Macaca mulatta: one gene and its partners. The protein of the gene in region 1 interacts with the protein of each later gene in a biochemical or structural test. Links are inferred from orthologs where the notes say so. Each region holds a gene or a part of one and is shown in the gene's direction. Other genes may lie near its edges. The genes, in order: XIAP, UBE2M, HTRA1, PTEN, MAP3K2 and TLE3.

The links.
Region 2: the proteins of XIAP (region 1) and UBE2M form a complex in vitro, tested with the Homo sapiens proteins (2 studies listed by BioGRID). The link is inferred for Macaca mulatta from reciprocal best matches to the Homo sapiens genes XIAP and UBE2M.
Region 3: the proteins of XIAP (region 1) and HTRA1 form a complex in vitro, tested with the Homo sapiens proteins (2 studies listed by BioGRID and IntAct, with this or other methods). The link is inferred for Macaca mulatta from reciprocal best matches to the Homo sapiens genes XIAP and HTRA1.
Region 4: of the proteins of XIAP (region 1) and PTEN, one has a biochemical effect on the other in vitro, tested with the Homo sapiens proteins (2 studies listed by BioGRID). The link is inferred for Macaca mulatta from reciprocal best matches to the Homo sapiens genes XIAP and PTEN.
Region 5: of the proteins of XIAP (region 1) and MAP3K2, one has a biochemical effect on the other in vitro, tested with the Homo sapiens proteins (2 studies listed by BioGRID, with this or other methods). The link is inferred for Macaca mulatta from reciprocal best matches to the Homo sapiens genes XIAP and MAP3K2.
Region 6: of the proteins of XIAP (region 1) and TLE3, one has a biochemical effect on the other in vitro, tested with the Homo sapiens proteins (2 studies listed by BioGRID). The link is inferred for Macaca mulatta from reciprocal best matches to the Homo sapiens genes XIAP and TLE3.

Annotation. Positions count from the first base shown.
Region 1 is NC_133426.1:130,341,685-130,344,139, forward strand, and holds the end of XIAP (E3 ubiquitin-protein ligase XIAP), read left to right. Parts: intron 1-229; coding exon 230-423; 3' UTR 424-1,955; downstream 1,956-2,455.
Region 2 is NC_133424.1:70,695,394-70,699,671, reverse strand, and holds the start of UBE2M (NEDD8-conjugating enzyme Ubc12), read left to right. Parts: upstream 1-1,478; 5' UTR 1,479-2,128; coding exon 2,129-2,237; intron 2,238-3,363; coding exon 3,364-3,458; intron 3,459-3,590; coding exon 3,591-3,629; intron 3,630-3,730; coding exon 3,731-3,834; intron 3,835-4,141; coding exon 4,142-4,205; intron 4,206-4,278.
Region 3 is NC_133414.1:134,543,021-134,547,037, forward strand, and holds the start of HTRA1 (serine protease HTRA1 precursor), read left to right. Parts: upstream 1-1,217; 5' UTR 1,218-1,280; coding exon 1,281-1,755; intron 1,756-4,017. UniProt on the Homo sapiens protein: Serine protease with a variety of targets, including extracellular matrix proteins such as fibronectin. HTRA1-generated fibronectin fragments further induce synovial cells to up-regulate MMP1 and MMP3 production.
Region 4 is NC_133414.1:99,939,533-99,943,472, forward strand, and holds the start of PTEN (phosphatidylinositol 3,4,5-trisphosphate 3-phosphatase and dual-specificity protein phosphatase PTEN), read left to right. Parts: upstream 1-1,140; 5' UTR 1,141-1,330; coding exon 1,331-1,409; intron 1,410-3,940. UniProt on the Homo sapiens protein: Dual-specificity protein phosphatase, dephosphorylating tyrosine-, serine- and threonine-phosphorylated proteins.
Region 5 is NC_133417.1:9,899,069-9,903,306, forward strand, and holds the start of MAP3K2 (mitogen-activated protein kinase kinase kinase 2), read left to right. Parts: upstream 1-1,438; 5' UTR 1,439-1,963; intron 1,964-4,238. UniProt on the Homo sapiens protein: Component of a protein kinase signal transduction cascade. Regulates the JNK and ERK5 pathways by phosphorylating and activating MAP2K5 and MAP2K7. Plays a role in caveolae kiss-and-run dynamics.
Region 6 is NC_133412.1:47,666,383-47,669,882, reverse strand, and holds part of TLE3 (transducin-like enhancer protein 3), read left to right. Parts: intron 1-627; coding exon 628-704; intron 705-1,701; coding exon 1,702-1,951; intron 1,952-2,313; coding exon 2,314-2,561; intron 2,562-3,500. UniProt on the Homo sapiens protein: Transcriptional corepressor that binds to a number of transcription factors. Inhibits the transcriptional activation mediated by CTNNB1 and TCF family members in Wnt signaling.

The DNA of each region.
Region 1 (2,455 bases):
TACAGCACTTATCACTTTGTACTTTGTGCTTAACCTCCATAGCCTCATCTTACATCCTCTCCCACTAGCCTGTGAGCTATTTAAGAGCAGATGCCATGTGTGAGTCATCCTCATATCTCCTGGCACTTGTTGGGTGCCTGGCACGTAGTAGGGGTTCAATAAATATTTTCAATGAATGTAAACAACTAAGAAAGTCTAAAACTAGCATAATTCTTTTCTCTTTTTGCAGAGATTAGTACTGAAGAGCAGCTAAGGCGCCTGCAAGAGGAGAAGCTTTGCAAAATCTGTATGGATAGAAATATTGCTATCGTTTTTGTTCCTTGTGGACATCTAGTCACTTGTAAACAATGTGCTGAAGCAGTTGACAAGTGTCCCATGTGCTACACAGTCATTACTTTCAAGCAAAAAATTTTTATGTCTTAATCTAACTCTGTAGTAGGGATGTTATGTTCTTCTTATTACCCTGATTGAATGTGTGATGTGAACTGACTTTTAAGTAATCAGGATTGAATTCCATTAGCATTTGCTACCAAGTAGAAAAAAAATGTACATGGCAGTGTTTTAGTTGGCAATATAATCTTTGAATTTCTGGATTTTTCAGGCTATTAGCTGTATTATTTATCCAACTTTTTTTACTGTTATCTAATTGAAACCCTAGACTAAGAAGCATCATATTATAACTGAACACAATGTGTATTCATCATATACTGACTTAATTTCTAAGTGTAAGTGAATTAATCATCTGGATTTTTTATTCTTTTCAGATAGGCTTAACAAATGGAGCTTTCTGTATATAAATGTGGAGATTAATCTCCCCAATCACATAATTTGTTTTGTGTGAAAAAGGAATAATTGTTCCATGCTGGTGGAAAGATAGAGATTATTTTTAGAGGTTGGTTGTTGTGTGTTAGGATTCTGTCCATTTTCTTTTAAAATTATAAACACGTACTTGTGCGAATAATTTTTTAAAAGTGATTTGCCATTTTTGAAAGGGTATTTAATGATAGAATACTATCAAGCCAAGATGTACTGACATGGAAAGATGTGAAAGATATATTAAGTGTAAAATGCAAGTGGCAAAACACTATGTATAGTCTGAGGCAATCAAAGTATGTATGTTTCTTATATGTATAGAACAAAAGATTTGGAAAGATAGACACCAAACTGTTAAATGTGGTTTCTCTTTGGGGGGGTTGGGGAAGGGGCCTCAGAGGGGTTTTATAGGGGCCTTTCACTTTCTATTTTTTTCATTTTGTTCTGTTTGAATTTTTTATAAGTATGTATTACTTTTGTAATCAGAATTTTTAGAAAGTATTTTACTGATTTAAAGGCTTAGGCATGTTCAAACGCCTGCAAAAGTACTTATCACTCAGCTTTAGTTTTTCTAATCCAAGAAGGCAGGGCAGTTAACCTTTTTGGTGCCAATGTGAAATGTAAATGGTTTTATGTTTTTCCTGCTTTGTGGATGAAAAATATTTCTGAGTGGTAGGTTTTTGACAGGTAGACCATGTCTTCTTATCTTGTTTCAAAATAAGTATTTCTGATTTTGTAAAATGAAATATAAAATATGTCTCAGATCTTCCAATTAATTAGTAAGGATTCATCCTTAATCCTTGCTAGTTTAAGCCTGCCTAAGTCACTTTACTAAAAGATCTTTGTTAACTCAGTATTTTAAACATCTGTCAGCTTATGTAGGTAAAAGTAGAAGTATGTTTGTACACTGCTTGTAGTTATAGTGACAGCTTTCCATGTTGAGATTCTCATATCATCTTGTATCTTAAAGTTTCATGTGAGTTTTTACCGTTAGGATGATTAAGATGTATATAGGATGAAATGTTAAATCCTCTGCCTACATTTGTGTTCTTGACTAGTAATAGTAGTAGATACTTCTGAAATCAATGTTCTCTCAACATCCTTAAAACCTCTTGGAAATTATAAAAATATTGGCAAGAAAAGAATAGTTGTTTAAATATTTTTTGAAAAACACTTGAATAAGAATCAATAGGACATAAACTAGAAGTTTAAAAATGCTTCATAGGACGTCCAGGGTTTACATTATAAGATTCTCACAACAAACCTATTGTAGAGGTGAGTAAGGCATGTTACTACATAGAGAAAAGTTTGAGAGTAAAACTGTAAAAAATTATATTTTTGTTGTACTTTCTAAGAGAAAGAGTACTGTTATGTTCTCCTAACTTCTGTTGATTACTACTTTAAGTGATATTCATTTAAAACATTGCAAATTTATTTTATTTATTTAATTTTCTTTTTGAGATGGAGTCTTGCTTGTCACCCAGGCTGGAGTGCAGTGGCATGATCTCTGCTCACTGCAACCTCCCCCTCCTGGGTTCAAGCGATTCTCCTGCCTCAGCTTCCTGAGTAGCTGGGATTACAGGCGAGTGCCACCATACCCGACTAATTTTTGTATTTTTAGTAGAGACAGGGTTTCACCATG
Region 2 (4,278 bases), on another chromosome or scaffold:
TGGAGGATTTTACCTGGAAATTCAGATTTTTCGGGACTTTCCTGTTCTCATGTTTACAAGCAGCAGGTGATGAGGGTGTAGGACCCTGCAGATGGATCCCCAACCAGTCTGAGAAGCAAAGACTGCAGGCCCTGGGCCAGTTTCCCTGCCCTGTGGTGATCATTCCCATCACTAGAGCTGAAGACTTCTCCCACCCTGGCCCCGGGCACACTGGAAGGATTCAGTCAGGAGTAGATCCAGCAGCAAACCAGTGGAAACGCAGCTTAGGTGAAAGTGGACAGACGCTGAGAGCGCAAGTTCAGCATACTGCAGGCTTCAGGGCAGCATCTCCAGGACCCAGTGCCATTGACTATTTTGCCCTAGCCATCTTCCCCTTCCATCGCATTGTCCAGGTCCTTCACACAGCCCCTCTCCCCCACCCCTCCAATGGATGACTTGGGTGCAGGTAACACAGGGTGAAAGGCAGTTTCAAAGAAGTGGTCTGTGTGCAGCAGGGTACAGCTTGAGCCTTAAACCCCACTGAAGGTCTCGCTCTGGGCACGTGTCAGGCTAGTCTTGGCCTGGGCATTTCCAGTAACAGAGACTTGAAGTTTGTGTGTCCAAGCTTCTTTCGGGGTGCAGCCGGACTTCCCCCTGCTGCTTCAAGTCACCCTAACCCCCAAGACTAGGGGCCTGGCCTCGGGGGAAGCAGACAAGCCAGCCTTGGCCAGAGGCCACTCCTGGGGGAGGATCTGCAGAATCAGAGGAGTGGCGCCTGGGGCCCTCCGCAGGGAAAGGCCACCACACCACGCGCTCACGGGGCCGGTAGTTTCCGTGGTGACGGCCGGAAGTCGCAGACCCGCAGAGTTCTGTTTCCTCCCGCCCTCCGAGGCACGCTGAGCTGTGATTGGATGAGAAGTTGACCCCGCCTCCATCCCCTTTTCCAGCTAGCAGGGGAAGCGCAGAGACTCCAGTGCGTCTCCGCTGGCACTCGCGGCCCATGCCAATAGCGCCCACGCTCCGCCCGCACGTCACGTTCCCCAAGTGTCCACCCCGACAGGTCTTCCCCTGCACCACTGTAACCCTCCATAGTGCTTACCACTCTCTGGCACAATACATGTTTTGTTAGTTTACCTCAATCAGAATCTCCAGGAACGGGGATCTTTGGGTTTGCGATAGGACAGTGAGGGTGCTCGACCTCGCACCCTCTGGGTAACGCCTCTAGTCTCACTCGGGGTCTTGCCGCGATCACCCTGCCTTGTCTGTGACCTATGGGGTCAAAGGCAGGCCGTGTGGGTGGCGGCAGCAGCGGAGACGACCACCCCCGCCGCGCTCTGCACATACACAACACAGGATGAAGTGACCGCGAGCAAAGCGGCCCGTGTCTGCCCCACTAAAAGATGGCGGCTAACCCCGCTTCCTGCCCGGCCCCGCGAGAGTCGCCGGAAGTGACCCGCAGGGCCGCCGAAGCGTCATCTCCACGAACGGAAATAACCGAGTCCAGCCGAAGGAGGCCGAACCCCAAACTCCATCGCTGAGCAACGCGGGTTTGCGGCGGCTGCGCAGGCGCACAACGCAGGCCGGGCGGGAAGAGCCAAAGCGGGCAGGCGGCGGAAATATCCGAAGCCGCGGGGCGCCCGAGGCCGTTGCAGACCTCCGCGCTAAAGCCGCTGCTGCCGCGGAAGACGATCCTCCAATACCCACCCGCCGTCACCGCGGCTGCCGCGTCCTCCTTCCACCCCTAGCCGCAGCCCCTTCGCGGAGGGATCAGCTGAGCGGCAAACGGCACAGTCCGGGGAGCCCCGAGTCCGCAGCTGCAGCGGGGCCTGAGACCAGAGTGGGCGAGGGCAAGGAAGGAGCGGCCCGGGGCAGTGGGGGCGGGGCCGGGCGGGCCCGAAAACAGCCGAATTTGGCCGAGAGCTGCCGAGCGAGCCCGAGGCTCTGGGCCAGGCCGGGGCCGGACTACGGGAGCCGAGGCGGGCCGCGCGGTGGGCGCGGAGCGGCGCGGCAGGCCGGGCGGGTGGCGGCAGCAGCGCAGGAGGCCGCAGCGGCGGGTCCGAGGAGCGGAGGCGACGCGGGCGGCGGCGGGGGGCCGGGTGGCCGGGGTCCCGGGCCCCGCGGCGGCGGCAGCGGCGGCGGCGGCGGCAGGATGATCAAGCTGTTCTCGCTGAAGCAGCAGAAGAAGGAGGAGGAGTCGGCGGGCGGCACCAAGGGCAGCAGCAAGAAGGCGTCGGCGGCGCAGCTGCGGATCCAGAAGGGTAGGGGGTCAGGGGATGGGGTTGGAGCTGGAGGTCGGAGGTCAGAGCCTGAGGCAGGGTGATGTTGAGAGTCAGGAGGGGGTAATGCTGTTGCCGAGGGTCAGAGGTGGAGGGCCCCGAGTCGGGGGGGGGGGGTCGGAGTTCAGGTCTTGAGGGTTGGGATCATGCAGTCACGGGGTGGGGGTCAGAGATGGGGCCCGGTATGTGGTGGTTTAGGATATTAGGAAGGCCTGGCGTCTGGTACTAGGGACTCGGAATCTCAGAGTCAGGCAGTGGAGTGGAGGAGCTGGGGACTGGAGAGTATGGGGGTTAGACGGGAACTTGGGTTTGGGGTGACAGGCGAAAAAGAGACGGATAGTAGAGGCTAAAGGTTGGGGATATGAGTGGGAGAGGATTTAGTGTATTATGCTGGGGTCTCTGGGAATCTCAGAGTCAAACGGGTAAAGTAAGTTGGAGGATTAGGGACTCGTGGGCCTACCTGAGAGTCACAGCAATTTGGATTTGGGCTTTGGGGTAACAGGTGGAGGAAGGAAGGTTAGTGAGTACCAGGGATTGGAGACAGGGGTGAGGGGGAATTTAGGCTATTGTGCTGTGAACCTCAGAGTCAAAGGAGGTGGGGCAGGGTGGTGGGGGTTGGGGACTTGAGATTGTGGGGGTCAGATGGGAAGCTGGGTCTGAGAGACAGAGAAGAGGAAGGACAGTGAGGACTGAGGGTTGGTGGGGGTGGGCAGGATCTTTGAGTTTGGGTGAACAGGTAGATACTGGAGAGTGGAGGTCATGGATGGGGAGCCTGGAGTTTAGGGCAGTCAGAGGATGTTTGGGAGTGGGGGCATTTGGGAGCTGTGGATACAGAACAGTTGGGGGTTACCCTGGGCCAGGAGTTGAGACACGCATACACAACTAAACATGCATGTTTGGGGTATGATGTGTATCCACAAGAGCCAAGCTAGGGAACAGGGAGAGGGCTGGAGGTGTGGAGCACAGCCCAGGACAGAGGCCTAGGGGTCTAGGAGGAGACCATGGGGGTTCTGCTAACAAACACCTGCCCTAAGTGTCCTGCTGGCTCCCTCTCTCTCTCTCTTCCCCTCCCTCTTTCTGACCCCCACTCTCTGCTGCCCAAACCCAGACATAAACGAGCTGAACCTGCCCAAGACGTGTGATATCAGCTTCTCAGATCCAGACGACCTCCTCAACTTCAAGCTGGTCATCTGTCCTGATGAGGTGAGGGTGCATATGGCTGAATTCCCAGGAGCAGACCAAGGGTGTCCCCACTGAGAGGAGGGAGACATATTCTGCCCATCAGGCCCCACAGGATGGAACCCTAAAATTTTCTTCTCCCCCTTTCCCTCCCAGGGCTTCTACAAGAGTGGGAAGTTTGTGTTCAGTTTTAAGGTGAGTCCCAGGCAGGCAGGGATGGCTCCCTGGACTGAGGAGGCAGCAGCTGAGGCCCTTCCAGGGACCTACCCATCTCTCCTTTCTTTTCCTGGAGCCAGGTGGGCCAGGGGTACCCACATGATCCCCCCAAGGTGAAGTGTGAGACAATGGTCTATCACCCCAACATTGACCTCGAGGGCAACGTCTGCCTCAACATCCTCAGGTGAAGGCACGGGCCCTCTACTGCCCTCCCCAGCCCTGCCTGCCAGGTCCCCCTCATGGTCTTGTGGGCACTACATCAGACTCTGTCCCTTCCCACCCCTTTGTTGTTTGTGATTTCTTCATTTCCCAGTCATCTTCCTCATGGCCTGACCTTGGTTTTCTCCCTGGCCTAGCCTGCTGCACACCCTCCCTCCCAGCCTCTCACATGCTCACTCTCCTATGCCCTGGATCTGACCTGCCCAATACCAGAGGGGCCTCTGGCAGTCTCCCACTCACCAAGCTCTGACCCTGATGCTCTCTGTCCACAGAGAGGACTGGAAGCCAGTCCTTACGATAAACTCCATAATTTATGGCCTGCAGTATCTCTTCTTGGTGAGTAGGAATAGGTGGTTGGGTCTGGGGAGACTGGCCTTCTGTCCCTCTGGCCTGTTGACCCCCCTACCTG
Region 3 (4,017 bases), on another chromosome or scaffold:
TAACGTGTGCACGAGGGAACAACCCAAATACAGAAGAATATTAAAATCTCCAAGCCCCCAGCCCCCTCCCTTGCTACTGTATCCCAAAGTCAGCTCTGCCGGCCCACCCAACCGTGGGTGCCTCTGCCCAGGGTAGGGTTGGAGGTTTGAGGGTTTCGGATGAGGGCTGGGCGAACCGCCTCCTCTCAGGTCCTTGGACGCGAGCTGTACCCATCTGCTCAGTGTGGACCCAGGACTACTGCCCACAGGCCTGGTGCTGCCTGGGCACCCAGACCCACCTCCAGGGTCGCCCTCGGCCCTCCTGATGACTCTCAGACTCGCATCTGTCCCAAAGGCTGCACCAAAGATTCTCCAGTGGAAAATCAAATTTTTGATAACAAAAGTGTTTTGAAATAATCACGCACGTGGTGAAAAATTCAAACAGGAGCAAACCCCTTTCCCATCTGAGACCGCTGCACCCTCTCCAGTTACGAGCCTCCCAGCTGCTTCCTGAGCTCTCTGCGAGTACGGACACGCGTGCCACCCACAACAACTGTTTAAAAGAATCAGACGTGTGAAGGATTCTGTTCAAATTACTTCTGCTCTCTGCTTTTATCACTTCACTGTGGGTCCGGGCGCGGGCTTTCTGGCAGCTCCGCGGACGCTGCCTTCGTCCGGCCGCACAGGCCCCGCGGTCAGGGTCCCGCATGCGGGGTACCGGGGGCAGAACCAGCGCGTGACCGGGGTCCGCGGTGCCGCCAACGCCCCGGGTCTGCGCAGAGGCCCCTGCAGTCCCTGCCTGGCCCAGTCCGAGCCTCCCGGGCAGGCCCCCAGTCGGGCGATTTGCAGGAACTTTCCCGAGCGCTCCCGCGGGGAGACGCCGCAGGGCCCCCTTGCAAAGTTCCTTTAGTTTGAAGGACGCGAATCGCAGCGAGAGAACCTGCGGAAGGCGAATATGTGGGGCGCGCAGACGGGGAAACTGAGTCCCGCGAGAGGGCGGGTCTGTGCACTGCCCCGCCCGCGCCCCACGAGCTCCGCCGTGCCCGGGCGCGCCCGCCCTGCCCCCGCCGCGGGCGGTCCCGGTCCAGTCGTCCGCCCTCCCGCCATCCGGTCGGCCCCCCTCCCGGGCGCCGTGCCCGTCCCCAAGGCGGCTCGTCACCGCTGCGAGGCCAATGGGCTGGGCCGCGCGGCCGCGCGCACTCGCACCCGCTGCCCCCGAGGCCCTCCCGCACTTTCCCCGGCGCCGCTCTCCGGCCCTCGCCCTGTCAGCCGCCACGGCCGCCGCCGCCGCCAGAGTCGCCATGCAGATCCCGCGCGCCGCGCTGCTCCCACTGCTGCTACTGCTGCTGCTGGCGGCGCCCGCCTCGGCGCAGCTGTCCCGGGCCGGCCGCTCGGCGCCTTTGGCCACCGGGTGCCCCGAGCGCTGCGAGCCGGCGCGCTGCCCGCCGCAGCCGGAGCACTGCGAGGGCGGCCGGGCCCGGGACGCGTGCGGCTGCTGCGAGGTGTGCGGCGCGCCGGAGGGCGCCGCGTGCGGCCTGCAGGAGGGCCCGTGCGGCGAGGGGCTGCAGTGCGTGGTGCCCTTCGGGGTGCCAGCCTCGGCCACGGTGCGGCGACGCGCGCAGGCTGGCCTCTGTGTGTGCGCCAGCAACGAACCGGTGTGCGGCAGCGACGCCAACACCTACGCCAACCTGTGCCAGCTGCGCGCCGCCAGCCGCCGCTCCGAGAGGCTGCACCGGCCGCCGGTCATCGTCTTGCAGCGCGGCGCCTGTGGCCAAGGTACTCTGCCGCGCTCCTGGGCAGCACCCCATTCTCTCCATCCCAGCTCGGACCTGCTTCTGCGGGACTGGTGGGCAGACCGAGGGGCAGTGAAGCGTTGCGGGGTGGCCAGGGCAACTCTCGGGGACAGGCAGGTGGGCCCCGGGGTGGCGGCTTTCCGCGGGCTGCCTCGGAAACGAGCTTCGCGCCCAGCCCGGGGCCGGTTCTGCGCCCAGACGATGCCGGTGCGCCGGGCCTGCACTCTGGGGCTCGAGACGCCTGGCGACCTGCCGCGGAGCGCCCTGAGGGCAGCCACACAGCGCGGGGAGCCGAGGACAAATAAGAGGAGTGGGGGCATAAAGGGAGGAGAGAAGTTCAGGACTAGGAACTGGAGCCTTGCAGAGTGGCTTCAGGACCACAAGAAGTCATTTCTGTTGCTTTTTCTATTTGCTTCCTCCGTCCCCTTTAAAATGCATTACTTTGATCACGGGACCGCTCCGTGAAAACTGTATGTAACTCTTTTGGAAAGGAAGAGTGTTTGCCGGCCCCCGCCGGAGTTTCCCCAAAAAGTCTACCCCGGGCAGGGAACGGTTTGGCATCGCACTCGTTTCGGCGGCGTTGCTGCCTGTGTTGCTTTCCTCGTTTTGAGCCAGCCCTACAAAAATGAAAGTGGCTCCTTTTGAATAAGCTGAATCGGGCTTTGGATCACGAAATCTGCAGAGGCGTAGAAGGGACCGGGTTAGTAATGAGGAAGGAGCCTGCCCCTCCCTCCTGCCGCATACAGGACCTGTTCGGCAGGGGAGATGGTGGTGATGGGGGCAGGAGTGGAGTGGAGCAATGTCTAACTCTCTCGCGGGACCTTCCGGAGAGATGCTTCCCATCTTCAGGCAGAGGCCATGTGGAAGAATAGTATCGAGTTCAGCGGCGGCCAGTCCCGCGGTGTAGAACCAGACAGCGGGGCTTGGCAGTGCGCTTAGGCGCAGCCATGCGGCTGCTGCCCGACCCCAGCGCTGCCTCCTCAACTCGGGCAGTGCCAGGAGAGGGGCATAGGAGAGCACAGTGCAGAGGGACTGGTCTAGATTTTACTTTATAGGAATATGGTTCAGTATGACCAACTAGGACTTGGCATAGTTTGGCTTACATGGACCGGAAGGTGCCAGAGCCGAATTGGGTGAAATTCGAGATTGTGTATTTCACTAACGCAGGAGCACAGCCCTCGGGAAACTCAGCCTAGTTAGGCAGTAGAGAGTTGTCCCGGAGACAAGTGATCCCGCAGACTAGAGAATGGGCATGATGATAGCACACGCCTATTGAGCACTCAGTCTGTGTGCCGGGTGTGTTACCTCTGTGACCTCATTTGGTCTCATGAGGAGGGAGTTTCTCCTCTCTCTCTCTCTCTTTTTTTCTTCTTAAGAGACAGGGTCTCCCTCTGTCGCCCAGGCTGGAGTATAGTGGTGTGATCATGGCTCACTGCAGCCTCCCACCCCTGGACTCAATGATTCTCCTGCTTCAGCCTCCCAAGTGGCTGGGGCTACAGGCGGATGCCACCACACCCAGCTTCTCATTCCTGTTTTACAGATAGCGGAACTAAGGTTGAAAAACTTGCCCAAGGTCACTCAGCTGGAGTTTAAACCCAGATAGCCTCATTCAGAGGAGTCAGGCCAGCACTTAACTCCAAGGGTGTGGGAGAGGGGTCAGGTGCTGTAAATTTCCCGGTGGGTTGGACTTGCATCCCCCTCAGAGCCAGGAACAGCATACACAAAGCCTAAGACTTGTTTGGAGGTGAATAGATCAGTGTGGCTGGGGGATGTTTGGGGAGGGCAGCAGGAGTGAGCCAGGCTGGTGGCCCAGAGTCCCAGGGCTGAAGAGGCTGGCTGTGCCCCGGGCCCTGTGTGCAGATGTTCTTGAACTGGGGCAACTCAAAGCCTAGTGTAGTGTAGGGCTGACCTAGCAGTGGTGTGCGGAATGCATCCAGGGTGGAGAGTTTAGACTACTGCAATAATCTGGGTGTGAGGCAACAACATTGAAAAAGCATGTTTTTGTCCAAAACAAGCCAGCTGTTACTGGTCTCGCTGTTTGTGGTCTCATTGCACGGGGTCCTGAGTTGCTGGCACCATGCGAGTCGCCTAATTTATTGCTAGTGAGGCAAGTTGCTTAATAAGCTTTGGAGTTGGCTGAGTCCCTGTGTGGAGGAAAACAGGTCCCCCATTGGCCATCAGGCTCACGGCGGGCCCCGGTGTACCAGTGAGGGGACAGCCACAGAGGGATAAGCATGGTGGCTTT
Region 4 (3,940 bases), on another chromosome or scaffold:
ACTGCTCAACGCACCCATCTCAGCTTTCATCATCAGTCCTCCACCCCCGCCCCGCAACAGCCTACCCTGCCTCCGGCTGGGTTTCTGGGCAGAGGCCGAGGCTTAGCTCGTTATCCTCGCCTCGCGCTGCTGCAAAAGCAGCCGCGGCAAGTGCAGTTGCAGGCTGGCGGCTCGGAACCGGCCCGAGCGAGCTCTAGGCAGCCACACTGGGCATGCTCAGTAGAGCCTACGGCTTGGGGGCTTTGCGCTCGCACCCGGAGCTACCGCTCCTGCCCCCGCCTACCGCCCCCTGCCCTGCCCTCCCCTCGCCCGGCACGGTCCAGTCCGCCTCTCGTTCGGCTCCCGCCTCCCCTCGGTCTCCCGAGGAGCCCGGGCTCCCGGCGCGGCGGCGGAGGGGGCGGGCAGGCCGGCGGGCGGTGATGTGGCGGGACTCTTTATGCACTGCGGCAGGATACGCGCTCGGGCGCCGGGACGCGGCTGCGCTCAGTTCTCTCCTCTCGGAAGCTGCAGCCATGATGGAAGTTTGAGAGTTGAGCCGCTGTGAGGCGAGGCCGGGCTCAGGCGAGGGAGATGAGAGACGGCGGCGGCCGCGGCCCGGAGCCCCTCTCAGCGCCTGTGAGCAGCCGCGGGGGCAGCGCCCTCGGGGAGCCGGCCGGCCTGCGGCGGCGGCAGCGGCGGCGTTTCTCGCCTCCTCTTCGTCTTTTCTAACCGTGCAGCCGCTTCCTCAGCTTCTCTTGAAGGGGAAGGTGGAAGCCGTGGGCTCGGGCGGGAGCCGGCTGAGGCGCGGCGGCGGCGGCGGCACCTCCCGCTCCTGGAGCGGGGGGGAGAAGCGGCGGCCGCGGCGGCCGCGGCGGCTGCAGCTCCAGGGAGGGAGTCTGAGTCGCCTGTCACCATTTCCAGGGCTGGGAACGCCGGAGAGTTGGTCTCTCCCCTTCTACTGCCTCCAACACGGCGGCGGCGGCGGCGGCACATCCAGGGACCCGGGCCGGTTTTAAACCTCCCCTCCGCCGCCGCCGCACCCCCCGTGGCCCGGGCTCCGGAGGCCGCCGGAGGAGGCAGCCGTTCCGAGGATTATTCGTCTTCTCCCCATTCCGCTGCCGCTGCTGCCAGGCCTCTGGCTGCTGAGGAGAAGCAGGCCCAGTCGCTGCAACCATCCAGCAGCCGCCGCAGCAGCCATTACCCGGCTGCGGTCCAGAGCCAAGCGGCGGCAGAGCGAGGGGCATCAGCTACCGCCAAGTCCAGAGCCATTTCCATCCTGCAGAAGAAGCCCCGCCACCAGCAGCTTCTGCCATCTCTCTCCTCCTTTTTCTTCAGCCACAGGCTCCCAGACATGACAGCCATCATCAAAGAGATCGTTAGCAGAAACAAAAGGAGATATCAAGAGGATGGATTCGACTTAGACTTGACCTGTATCCATTTCTGCGGCTGCTCCTCTTTGCCTTTCTGTCACTCTCTTAGAACGTGGGAGTAGACGGATGCGAAAATGTCCCTAGTTTGGGCGACTATAACATTTAACCCTGGTCGGGTTGCTAGGTCATATATTTTGTGTTTCTTTTCTTGTATTCAACCTAGGGTGTGTTCGGCTAGACGGAACTCTTGCCTGGTTGCAAGTGTCGAGGCACCGATTGCTTGCTTAGGCTGTCTATACGGTCTCTTCCTGAGGGCTATTGTCCGTTAATACAGAATACAGTATGCTGTTAGTGGATTAGAGAGCTCGGTAATCCGGTCTCCTAAATGAACAAAAAAGTAGACGCTTTGAGGTTGAGCATATTTCGATTAAATCTTGGCTTAGGCCCTAGATCAAGGGTTTAGATCAGAATAAAATGAAAATTAGTGTTGCACGTATGCATATTGCATCAGAATCTTGCAGTGATTGTTTTAGTTTCCTGGGTTGCATTGATAGATTCTTTTAAAATATGACTGATTTGCATAACTTTAGAAGCAGAATAATTTTCAGTATATATGGTGCACATTGAGTGCAAAAAGTAGTTTTGTTAATGTTTTACACTTAAGTTACAACTTTGGACTGTATTTAGAAGTTTTGTAGTTTGAAATCAATAATGCCATTATATACCTTATAAGGCGTTCTTACTAGATCTTTGTTATATTTACCTTTTTCTCTCCCTATGGGATGATGTAGGATAGGGCTTGAAATTTGCACTTCAGTAGCGTTTAATGTTCAGTGCTCTTGTCATAAACATGGAATGGATATTGAGTAGTTTTTGATCCCAGATGACAATGTGTAGGTTCAAGGGTATTGTGTGTGGCAAGTGAAGATTGCAAAGATAAAACTTCAGTTCATGCTTGAAATTTAAGTATTGTGATGCCAGAATTGCTGCTCACCGTTTTTAGATTTCAGGTTCTCTGACATCTTTTGGTATTGTTAATTTCAGTGATTTGTGTAGAATGTCAAGTGAATTTTACCAGCTAATATCCAGAAATGCTGGCAAGAGAAGTTTACTCCAGCTTTAGATTGTAGGTATGTTAGCTTTTTTCATACAGTGTATTAAATTTACTGAGTCAGCTTGTTGAATAAGACAGAAGCCCAAGAATTTTAACAGTGTATAGCTTTAGTTGTCTAAAAGTTAGGCCTTCGGGCTTCAAAAGTTAGTGGTCATCGAAAAGCATGAATCTTTGCAGTTTCAGGTACAACAGACTGGTTTTGATTAGGGATGGGGATGGGGCCCTCATTTTGCAGAATGGAAAGTATTGACAGGAATTGAGAGCTATTGGTAGGCCAGTGTATAAGGTATGTGAAAACAGAAGTTATTGGTCTGAAGTGACTGAAGCATTTAGGCTCTATCAAGGCCTAAAATTTGGTAATATGAGTTTGGTAATGCGAATTGTGGCAGTGGACAATATTTAGTTAAAATTATGTAATTGCATAAGTACTAGCAGAGTATTTTTAATAAAAATTATTTCTTAGCAAGTATCAGTTGCATTTTGTCTAAAGGTAGCGTGACACTGCAGTGTCTATATGTCCTGCTAAAAATTGTGGGGAAGATTTTTTTTTAAGACAACGTTTATATCGGGAGAGGTTTTATTCCCTTGGATTATGTTAGCTGCATATACATGTGCACAGTTAATTTTGCCCAAGTTTTTGTTTTGAAATGAATATAAAACTTACTGAAGAAGTAGCCTCCCAAAATTTAGTTTTCTGTTAAGTCAGTAATATTATTTTAAAACAGTATTTGCAAATTTTGAAGTTGGCATTAATTGAAAATGTTACTAAGGCTAAACTGGAAGATAAAAATGTTACTAAGGCTAAACCCGCTTGCCCAGAAGATAATTATGGAAAAAATTCTTTTGTGACTTCCAAAGCAGTCTACTATTAGCATGAATTACTGACAGTCATCCAAATATATAGGAACAAAAAATTAAATGTTTATGTAACTTTGAAAAAAAAGCCTCTGAAGAAAATAATTGAATGCTGTCTGGGAGACAGATTTCTTTCAGCACTTAAAGTACATACACACTACTTTTACTTTTCCCACTTTATTTAAAATTGTCAGGGTTATTAAGACCTTAAAATTATTCTACCAGGTTTTTACATGTGAGCTGTGATGTGACTGGCATTTCCTTTGATTTCAGAGTATGTGGGTCTCTACACATGAAATTTATGTGACTTAAAACTTTCTCTAAAATTGTACTTTTAGTTATGCATAGAAAGCAGTATCAAATATTGTGTCAAATGACTAATAACACTTGATTTCTAGAGTTGTGGTTTTATTGAGCCAAAAGTTGGTATGAAAAAAAGTCAGTGAGGAAAGTCAATGAAGTGCTTGCTTTTTTGATAATTGCACTCCCAATAATTTTGATATTCCAACGTACTTGGTTTGCTTGTTTTTCTGTTTATGGGGGTGGGAAGGCATTAAAATGGTCATTGAGGACTTTGTCTTTGGCATGCTGTAGTATTTATTTCGGCAGCTAACCTGTGAAA
Region 5 (4,238 bases), on another chromosome or scaffold:
GGGAAAAAATTTATCTCTGGATTACTTAGTAAACAAACACGTTTTTATTGAATGCTTGGTTTGTGGTGACCCTATAACTGTGGCGAACAATATCGATGTTTCAGATTTAAATACTATCCTCAGGCATTCTGAGACCCTCCTTTCTGTGGCATACGGATCTTTGAATGTTAGATTCAAGAAGGTCTTAGATTTATGCATAAAAGTCCTCCATTTTTTAAACAAATAGAAGCAAACTGATTTTCCACTGAGCTCTGTGTTTCTGAGGTGCACATCCTTGTTCCTGTGCCTTTGACACCTCTGTTAATGAATCTGTAATAAAGATTCCTGGAGGAAACCCAGAGATAGTTTGACACTGCACAACAGTTTCTCCCTCAGTCTCTGCCGCACAAGTGCCAGGTCCCTTGACCATCAACCCAAGTTGGGATAGCTCCTTACCTCTGGGTCGGTGAGTCCCATTCCCATCTCTCTCATCTCAAATGCTGCAGTGGAAATATGGTCTGGAATAGGCATGAAAGGGGTGGATCCAGCATGTACCAAGAAACCAAGTAGAAGCTAAACAGGGAGGAATGGTACAGGAAGTTGTAAGGGGTATTTAAGGAAGGGAGAAGAGAGGGGGCGGAAAGATGCTTTCTGGATCAAAGTAGGGTGAAAACCTCGGGATGCCGGTTAGGCACACCACGGAGGGCCTCACCGCTAGTCTGATTAATTTGCATTTTATCCTGTGGGCGATGAGGAGCGAAGGAAAGGGTTTTAGACTCTAGCTTTGGGGGTGGAGTGTCAACTCATGTCTCTGGGCTGAAGTTTCCACATCTGTTAAGCTGGAGAAGTAATACTTGCTGGGCCAACCAATGTACACAACCATTGTTACAACCAAGTATCGATGGTGATAAAAAACTAAACAGAAAACACAAATAACACTTAGCCGGTCTCCAAGGGGGTGGTTTAAGGTTAGGTGGCAAGCCTGAAGTAATTTCTAAAGTCCCTTGGGAATAAAATTCTGAAACTTGAGCCATAAATTAAGAGGCAGATGGCTTTTCTCTTTGCAAACGACCTGCCACAGACTCAGTCCGTCACTGCCTCTGCTAGCTCTGCTACCCTTGGGCCCCGTCCGCAACCCACGTGGGAGACCTTTCACGGGATCTACTCGGATGTCTGGGATCGAGACAACCCAGGTGCGTATGCGCCGCGCACACGGAACAGCGCAGGCTGCCCGAGGCCATGGGGCGGGGCCGAGGCCGGGGCGGAGCCAGGACTGGGAATCCCCGCGCCGTCAGGCCGGTGGGGGCCGGGCGTGTGTGTGGGCGTGGCGGGCCTCTGCGCAGGCGCCGACCCACTCCCCAGAGCCGGGCGCGCGCCCGCGACGGGTTCCGCTACCGGCGGGCGGAGGGGTGCGCGCGCACGAGCGAGCGGCCGTGACGTGCGCCGCGCTACGCCCGACGTCACGAGTCCGTGTGTAGTGGCGGCCGGGCTGCCTGCCCTCAGCGGCGGCGCCTGACGAGGGTGCCGCGGCGGGTGGGCGCAGCGTTCGGGGATTGCACGGCCCGCGGCGGCGACGAAGACTACGACCAGGAAGCTCGGCTCCCCTGTCCGCGGAGTCGCCACTCCCGCCTCTTCTCCGGTCTCTGGCGACGCGGGCCCGCGGCTTCCCCCTTTCCTGCCCGACTCCCCGCGGGCCTCGGGGTTGCAGCGGCCAGAAGCACCGAGGAGCGCCAGGAGGACCCGGCCGGCCGCGAGGATTGACGCGCCCGCCACCCCGCCCGGCCCAGGCTTCATGTGAAAGAGGGACGGGCCTGGCCCCGAGGCCCGCGCCCGACTCCTCGCGCGCCCCTCCGGCCCCCGGGGGCCCCGCGGCCGCCCCCGACCGGGGGCCGCGGTGACAGGCCGCGCTGGGGCGGAGGGGCGGGCTCGGCGGGGGCGGCCCCTCCTTGGGCCTGCGGCTCTCTACGTCCCTGCGGAGCTGCCGGTACGTGCGTGTGTGCGTGCGTGCGCGTGTGCGCTTGTGTGTGTGTGTGTGTTTGTGTGTGTGTGTGTGTTTGTGTGTGTGTGTGTGTGCGCGCGCGCGCGCGTGTGTGTGGGGGGCCGCGGGCTGGGCGCCGGGAGGGGGCTGGCGGCGGCCTAAGCGCCGCTCCAGGGGCGGAGATTTCGCTGGGTGATTGCCTAACTGAGGGAGGGCGGACCTTGGGCCCCCTACATCCCGTCCTGAAGCCCAGGTCAGCGCGAAATAGGCTGCTGGGCTGTTAGCTGTCAGACACGTACCCTGCAGAGATTTTAGAAGGAAGGTTGCAGCTGGTCTTGCGATGAAGCAGAAATGGTACATGCAGTGAACGAAAAAGTGCTTGTCTTTGCACTGTCATAGTGTGGTAATCTTTTGATGTAATGTTGTTTCCCCCTTTTCACGGAATATTTAGGTAGCACTTACGGTGCCCTTAGTCTGCGCCCGGCAGTTGTTATGTCTTATTTCTCTTCATCTTCCCAGCCCAGTGAAGTGGGTATATCGCCCCATTTTACAGATGAAAACTTGAGGCCCAGAGAGATTAAGGCATTTGTCCAAGGTCATGAAGCTAGTAATCCAGGAAGGCTTGGTTCGAAGACAGTATTTCTTGCAAAAATAAATACGTTGAGAAAATGAGACTAACTGGGCAGTTTCTTTAATGGGACAAATTCTAAACACATAGACGCAGTTTAGTTTTCCTTAAGTAAGATCTTCGATGTCTTTTGCCAAACCATTTTCTTGGCTTAAAAAAAAAAATTTAAAGGATGGCTTCAGATACCTTTACTTTTTGCGTACTAGTACTGGACAGAAAAAATTACTCTCTTACAAAAAAGAAATACATTTGGTAAAACAGCATAGATCTTGAAAAGTTACAAATTTACTTTTGTAGTTTGACCTTGATGCCCAAAGGGAACTCACAGTTGGGTTATTTGCTTGAGATTTCCTTGTTGCAAAATTTGTTGCTGGATTATGTGGCAATTTAGTGATTTGTTAGTTGTCTTATGCAATGTTTTTTAGTTTGATGTCAAATTTTAATATCGTAGAAAGTTTGATGGTGTGATTCTTTTTTCATTTGTATGGAGTGCTACTAATCAGTGTTTATAAGCTAACTGAAAATTCTCATTTTAGCATGAGTTTTGTATTTTTTTAAACTATGGTGAGAGGAAAAAATAAGGAGCCAGAGCTCTGTACTGAAAAAAAGTCGATACATTTCCTTGAGTAATTGAAGCTTTGTGCATAATTGCAAATGTTTAACAAATCTATTGATGCCCAATTATACTAGGCCGTAATTTTCCTAGTATATTATCAAGTTGAAGAAAATTTGTGATCTTGCAATCTCTATGGAGAAAAAGTGAAATTACAAAGTTAACGTGGATGGTTTACAGATTGATTTGTTGTTTGGTTAAAATATAAACATGTTGAATCTTATTGAATTATGTTGTATCTGGTATCATTATAGAATGGTTATCCATGTGCCTGTTTTGAGAAACTAGCTGTTAAAGACTTATCTTAAATAATTGGATTGCATTAGAGATTGAATCTTTTAAGCAATGTTTTAGGTGGAGCTTTTGTTTCTCATTTACTTTATTGGTACCAAAGGGGTAAACTAATAGGTGCTGTATTAAAATAAAGTCATGTTTGATACTCTGCATTTCTTACAGCGTTGGTTTCAGGTTGATTTTCTCTTTCCCTATAGAATTGGAGCTGTTTCCCCCCACCTCCCACTTTTTATTATCAGACAATTTCGAGTATGCAGAAAATCTGGTAGTAGTAAACCACTTGTATCATGATCCTGTAGATAAAACGTTTGTTGGTATCTTGCCATATTTGCTTTATCTATAAATACATGTACAGACATACCTTAGAGATTGTGGCTTTGGTTCTAGACCACTACAATAAAGCGAAATAAGTGAGTCACATAAATTTTTTAGTTTCACAGTGCATATAAAGTTATGTTTGCAATATATTGTAGTCTATTGTGTGCAATGGCATTATGTCTAAAAATGTATATATCTTAATTTAAAAATTATTTATTGCTAAAAATTGCTAAAGAACATTTGAGCCTTTAGAGAGTTGTAATCTTTTTGCTGGTGGAGGGTCTTGCCTCCATGTTGATGGCTGCTGACGAGTAAGGGTGGTTGATAAGGGTTGGTTGGTGAAGTTTGGGATGGCTGAGGCAATTTCTTAAAATAAGACATTAGTGAAGTTTGCCGCATCGATGGACTCTTCCTTTCATGAAAGATTT
Region 6 (3,500 bases), on another chromosome or scaffold:
GCGGGTGGATCACCTGAGTCAGGAGATCGAGACCAGCCTGGCCAGCCAACATGGTGAAAGCCTGTCTCTACTAAAAATACAAAAATTAGCTGGGTGTGGTGGCAGGCGCTATTCGGGAGGTAGAGGCAGAAGAATCCCTTGAACCCGGGAGGCGGAGGTTGCAGTGAGCCAAGATTGCGCCACTGTACTCCAGCTTGGGCAACAGAGCAAGACTCCATCTCAAAAAATAAAAAGAAAAAGAAGAGTTAGGGTTGGCGGAGAGAGGGGCCCTTTTTCAGGAGATAGTTTTCCTTTTTACCTCCTGGACCTTGGGTGGCCTTCTCTCCACTGGCAGGCCCACTAGGACCACAGGAGAGGAAAGAAGTAGGGCAGGGCCAGCTCTGCCTTGCAGAACAGGGAGGATGCTGGTTCAGAGTGGGGTCTACACACTGTCACCCCCTCCCTGCCACGGGCCTTCCTGGGCCTGTGTCTCCTTTGAATCAATGGGCTCTGCTCTGCTCAGCTTGTCTCTTGGGTTATAAAGTGGCAGAGCCATGCAGGTAGGACCCCGGGTGGGTGGTGGAGGAGGCAGGGGTGGGGGTGTGTGGCAACACGGCTGATGGAGGGCTGTCTTGCCTTGCTTTACAGGTTGGTTTTGACCCTCACCCCCCCATGCGGGCCACAGGCCTCCCCTCAAGCCTGGCCTCCATTCCTGGAGGAAAACCGTAAGCTTTGGCTATACTTACTGCATGCTTTGTAGGGTGGGGAGGAGAGAGCACTCTACCCCTCCTTCCAACAACACACGTCATCCCCTGACGAAGAATTTGCCCTGGTGCATGTCCCTTTGGAAAGGTATCTGTCCCTCTGGAGGCACCGAGGCCTAGTTGCAACCCCAGAAAACTATAGCCAAGCCATGCTTCTCAGCACCCACAGAAGCTCCCTCCAACAGAGGAGCCATGGGGTTAGCTAAGTACATGGCCACCGGGCTGGGAGACAAGGAACACTCCTCACCGAGTCACCTGGAGCTGTGGTGGGCCTTGCCGACTCCTTTGGGCTCTACCTGCTGGGAAGGCCCCAGTGCCGCTGGTCGCAGGCCCTTCCCTGTCAGCAGTGCTTTCCTCCCCTGGAGGGCACACTCTCCCCGGCCCTTCACTTCCTCGGGTTGCTAGGAAACTAAAAGATTGAGCCTATAGATAATGCGGAGACACTGCCTGACACAGTCCTCTAATTGTCCACGAGAATCTAGATGCTGATTGAGAGGGCGCCCACCAGAGCCGGAAACAGCAGGCAGGCCAGGCTGGCTCCCACCGACTCTGACACGGACTTTCCCATTTGCTATTGAGGGGCAAGCAGATCCCTTCCCTAATACCGCCGGCTCCTAAAGCAAGAGGTGGCATTTCAGCCATGCCCTTTCCAGGGCTGGCTTGTTGGGGGAATGAATGGATTGTGGGAAAGGGCATTCCAGGACATCTGTGGGTTTCTGGTCTGATTTGGAGCAAGGATATATAACCGAGTGTAAAAATCAAAGCTGGTCTGTTAAGCACTCTCCACCCTGGTGGAGCCCTCCCAGTACATGGGGTTACTGGGTTCGAAAGGTTTCAGAGCAGAGGGGCCTGGAGGCAGGGCAGCCAGTCGGGGGCGGTGCAGGTGACCTGGGCCAGGCCTGTGGGAACTCTGAGGGGCCGGGGTGGATGGCAGCAGTGACGGTTCTCACCTTTTCAGAGCGTACTCATTCCATGTGAGCGCTGATGGGCAGATGCAGCCCGTGCCCTTCCCCCACGACGCCCTGGCAGGCCCCGGCATCCCGAGGCACGCCCGGCAGATTAACACACTCAGCCACGGGGAGGTGGTGTGTGCCGTGACCATCAGCAACCCCACGAGGCACGTCTACACAGGTGGCAAGGGCTGCGTGAAGATCTGGGACATCAGCCAGCCAGGCAGCAAGAGCCCCATCTCCCAGCTGGACTGCCTGGTGAGAATCCCAGGGCCACCGCGCCTCCTCCAGCTGGTGTAGGAGGATGGGGTAGCCTGGGCCACGGGGGAGAGCCCCAGGGCCCGGCTTAGCATCGTATTGGCTGAGCAACTTTAGGCAAGCTGACTAACCTCTCTGAGCCCCAGTTGTGCCTTCTGTGTGTGGGGCTGATACTGACCTCCTGGTATTCATGAAAGATCAAAGGCTTGTGAATTTGAGGAATGGGGACAGCCAGGCAGCTGCTGGGTATAGGGGAGGCTGTAAGCAGGGCTGGTGAGGGTGCTCAGTATTGCTGGACAAGACTCTCCTGGTGCCCACGAGGGGAAGTAGGCAGCACTCAGCCCTGCCCCTTCTCCCTCCAGAACAGGGACAATTACATCCGCTCCTGCAAGCTGCTTCCTGACGGGCGCACGCTCATCGTGGGCGGCGAGGCCAGCACGCTCACCATCTGGGACCTGGCCTCGCCCACGCCCCGCATCAAGGCCGAGCTGACGTCCTCGGCTCCCGCCTGTTATGCCCTGGCCATCAGCCCTGATGCCAAAGTCTGCTTCTCCTGCTGCAGCGACGGGAACATAGCTGTCTGGGACCTGCACAACCAGACCCTGGTCAGGTGAGCCGTCAGGAGGGAGCATTAGTGCCTCGTCCTGGGGACGTTTTTACCCACCCTGCCTGGTCTTGTTTGCTGTGACCTTGGCCTTGTCTGAGGTGCCGTGGGGTGGCCATAATCGTTGGGATGAGGGATGCACAGGTGAAAAGACAGCTCTGCCTGCCTTATTCGAGGGACAGAGGAGGGAGGGCCATTGGGCCCAGGAGCTTGGAGAGGGCTCTGGGAAGAAAGTGGAGCTAGAGCATGTCTGGGAAAGTGGAGGTCAGATTAGTGGAGCAAGCAGAGAGGCTGGGAGAGAGGCCCAGAGACCAGACTGGGGAGACCTGACTGGGAAGCCACATCATGTGGTGTCTAGACAAGCCTTAGGACAAAACTGCTGGGTTTGAATCCTGCCTCCACTATGACCTAGTGCAAGTTGCTGAACCCCTGCGGCTCAGTTTCTTCCTGTGTAAAACAGTGACAATGGAGCATCTGCCTCTGACAGTGCTACAGTGCAAAAGCAGACGGGGTGCCTGGCCCAGCTGACTCTTATACATGGGCTGTGTGTGTTATTCAACGTGTTCATGGATGGCCTCAGCCCCATAGTTCATGCAGGGTGAAGAGATAGATTAAGAGGGTAAATTGAGGGCGCATGGAGTGCGGGCTAAGGAGCTGTGTCTTAAAGGCAGTGAGGCCCTGCATTCTCTTTATCAGTCATCTCACACATGGCTTCCCTAGGGCCTTCCTGAGCCTCCAGCTCCACCTTCTCCAGAGGCCCACCCTGGAGGGATTCAGTCTCAGAAGCCTGGTGTGAGGTCCCCTTTTCACCCCCCATTTCCCACGGGACTTGTCCCGGGGCAAACCCTTCTGTGGAACTGGAAAGAGGCCAGAGCTAGCTTTGCTGCAAGCTCACTAAGGGACCATGTGCATAGTGCGCTCTTCTGGGCCTCAGTTTCCTCTTCT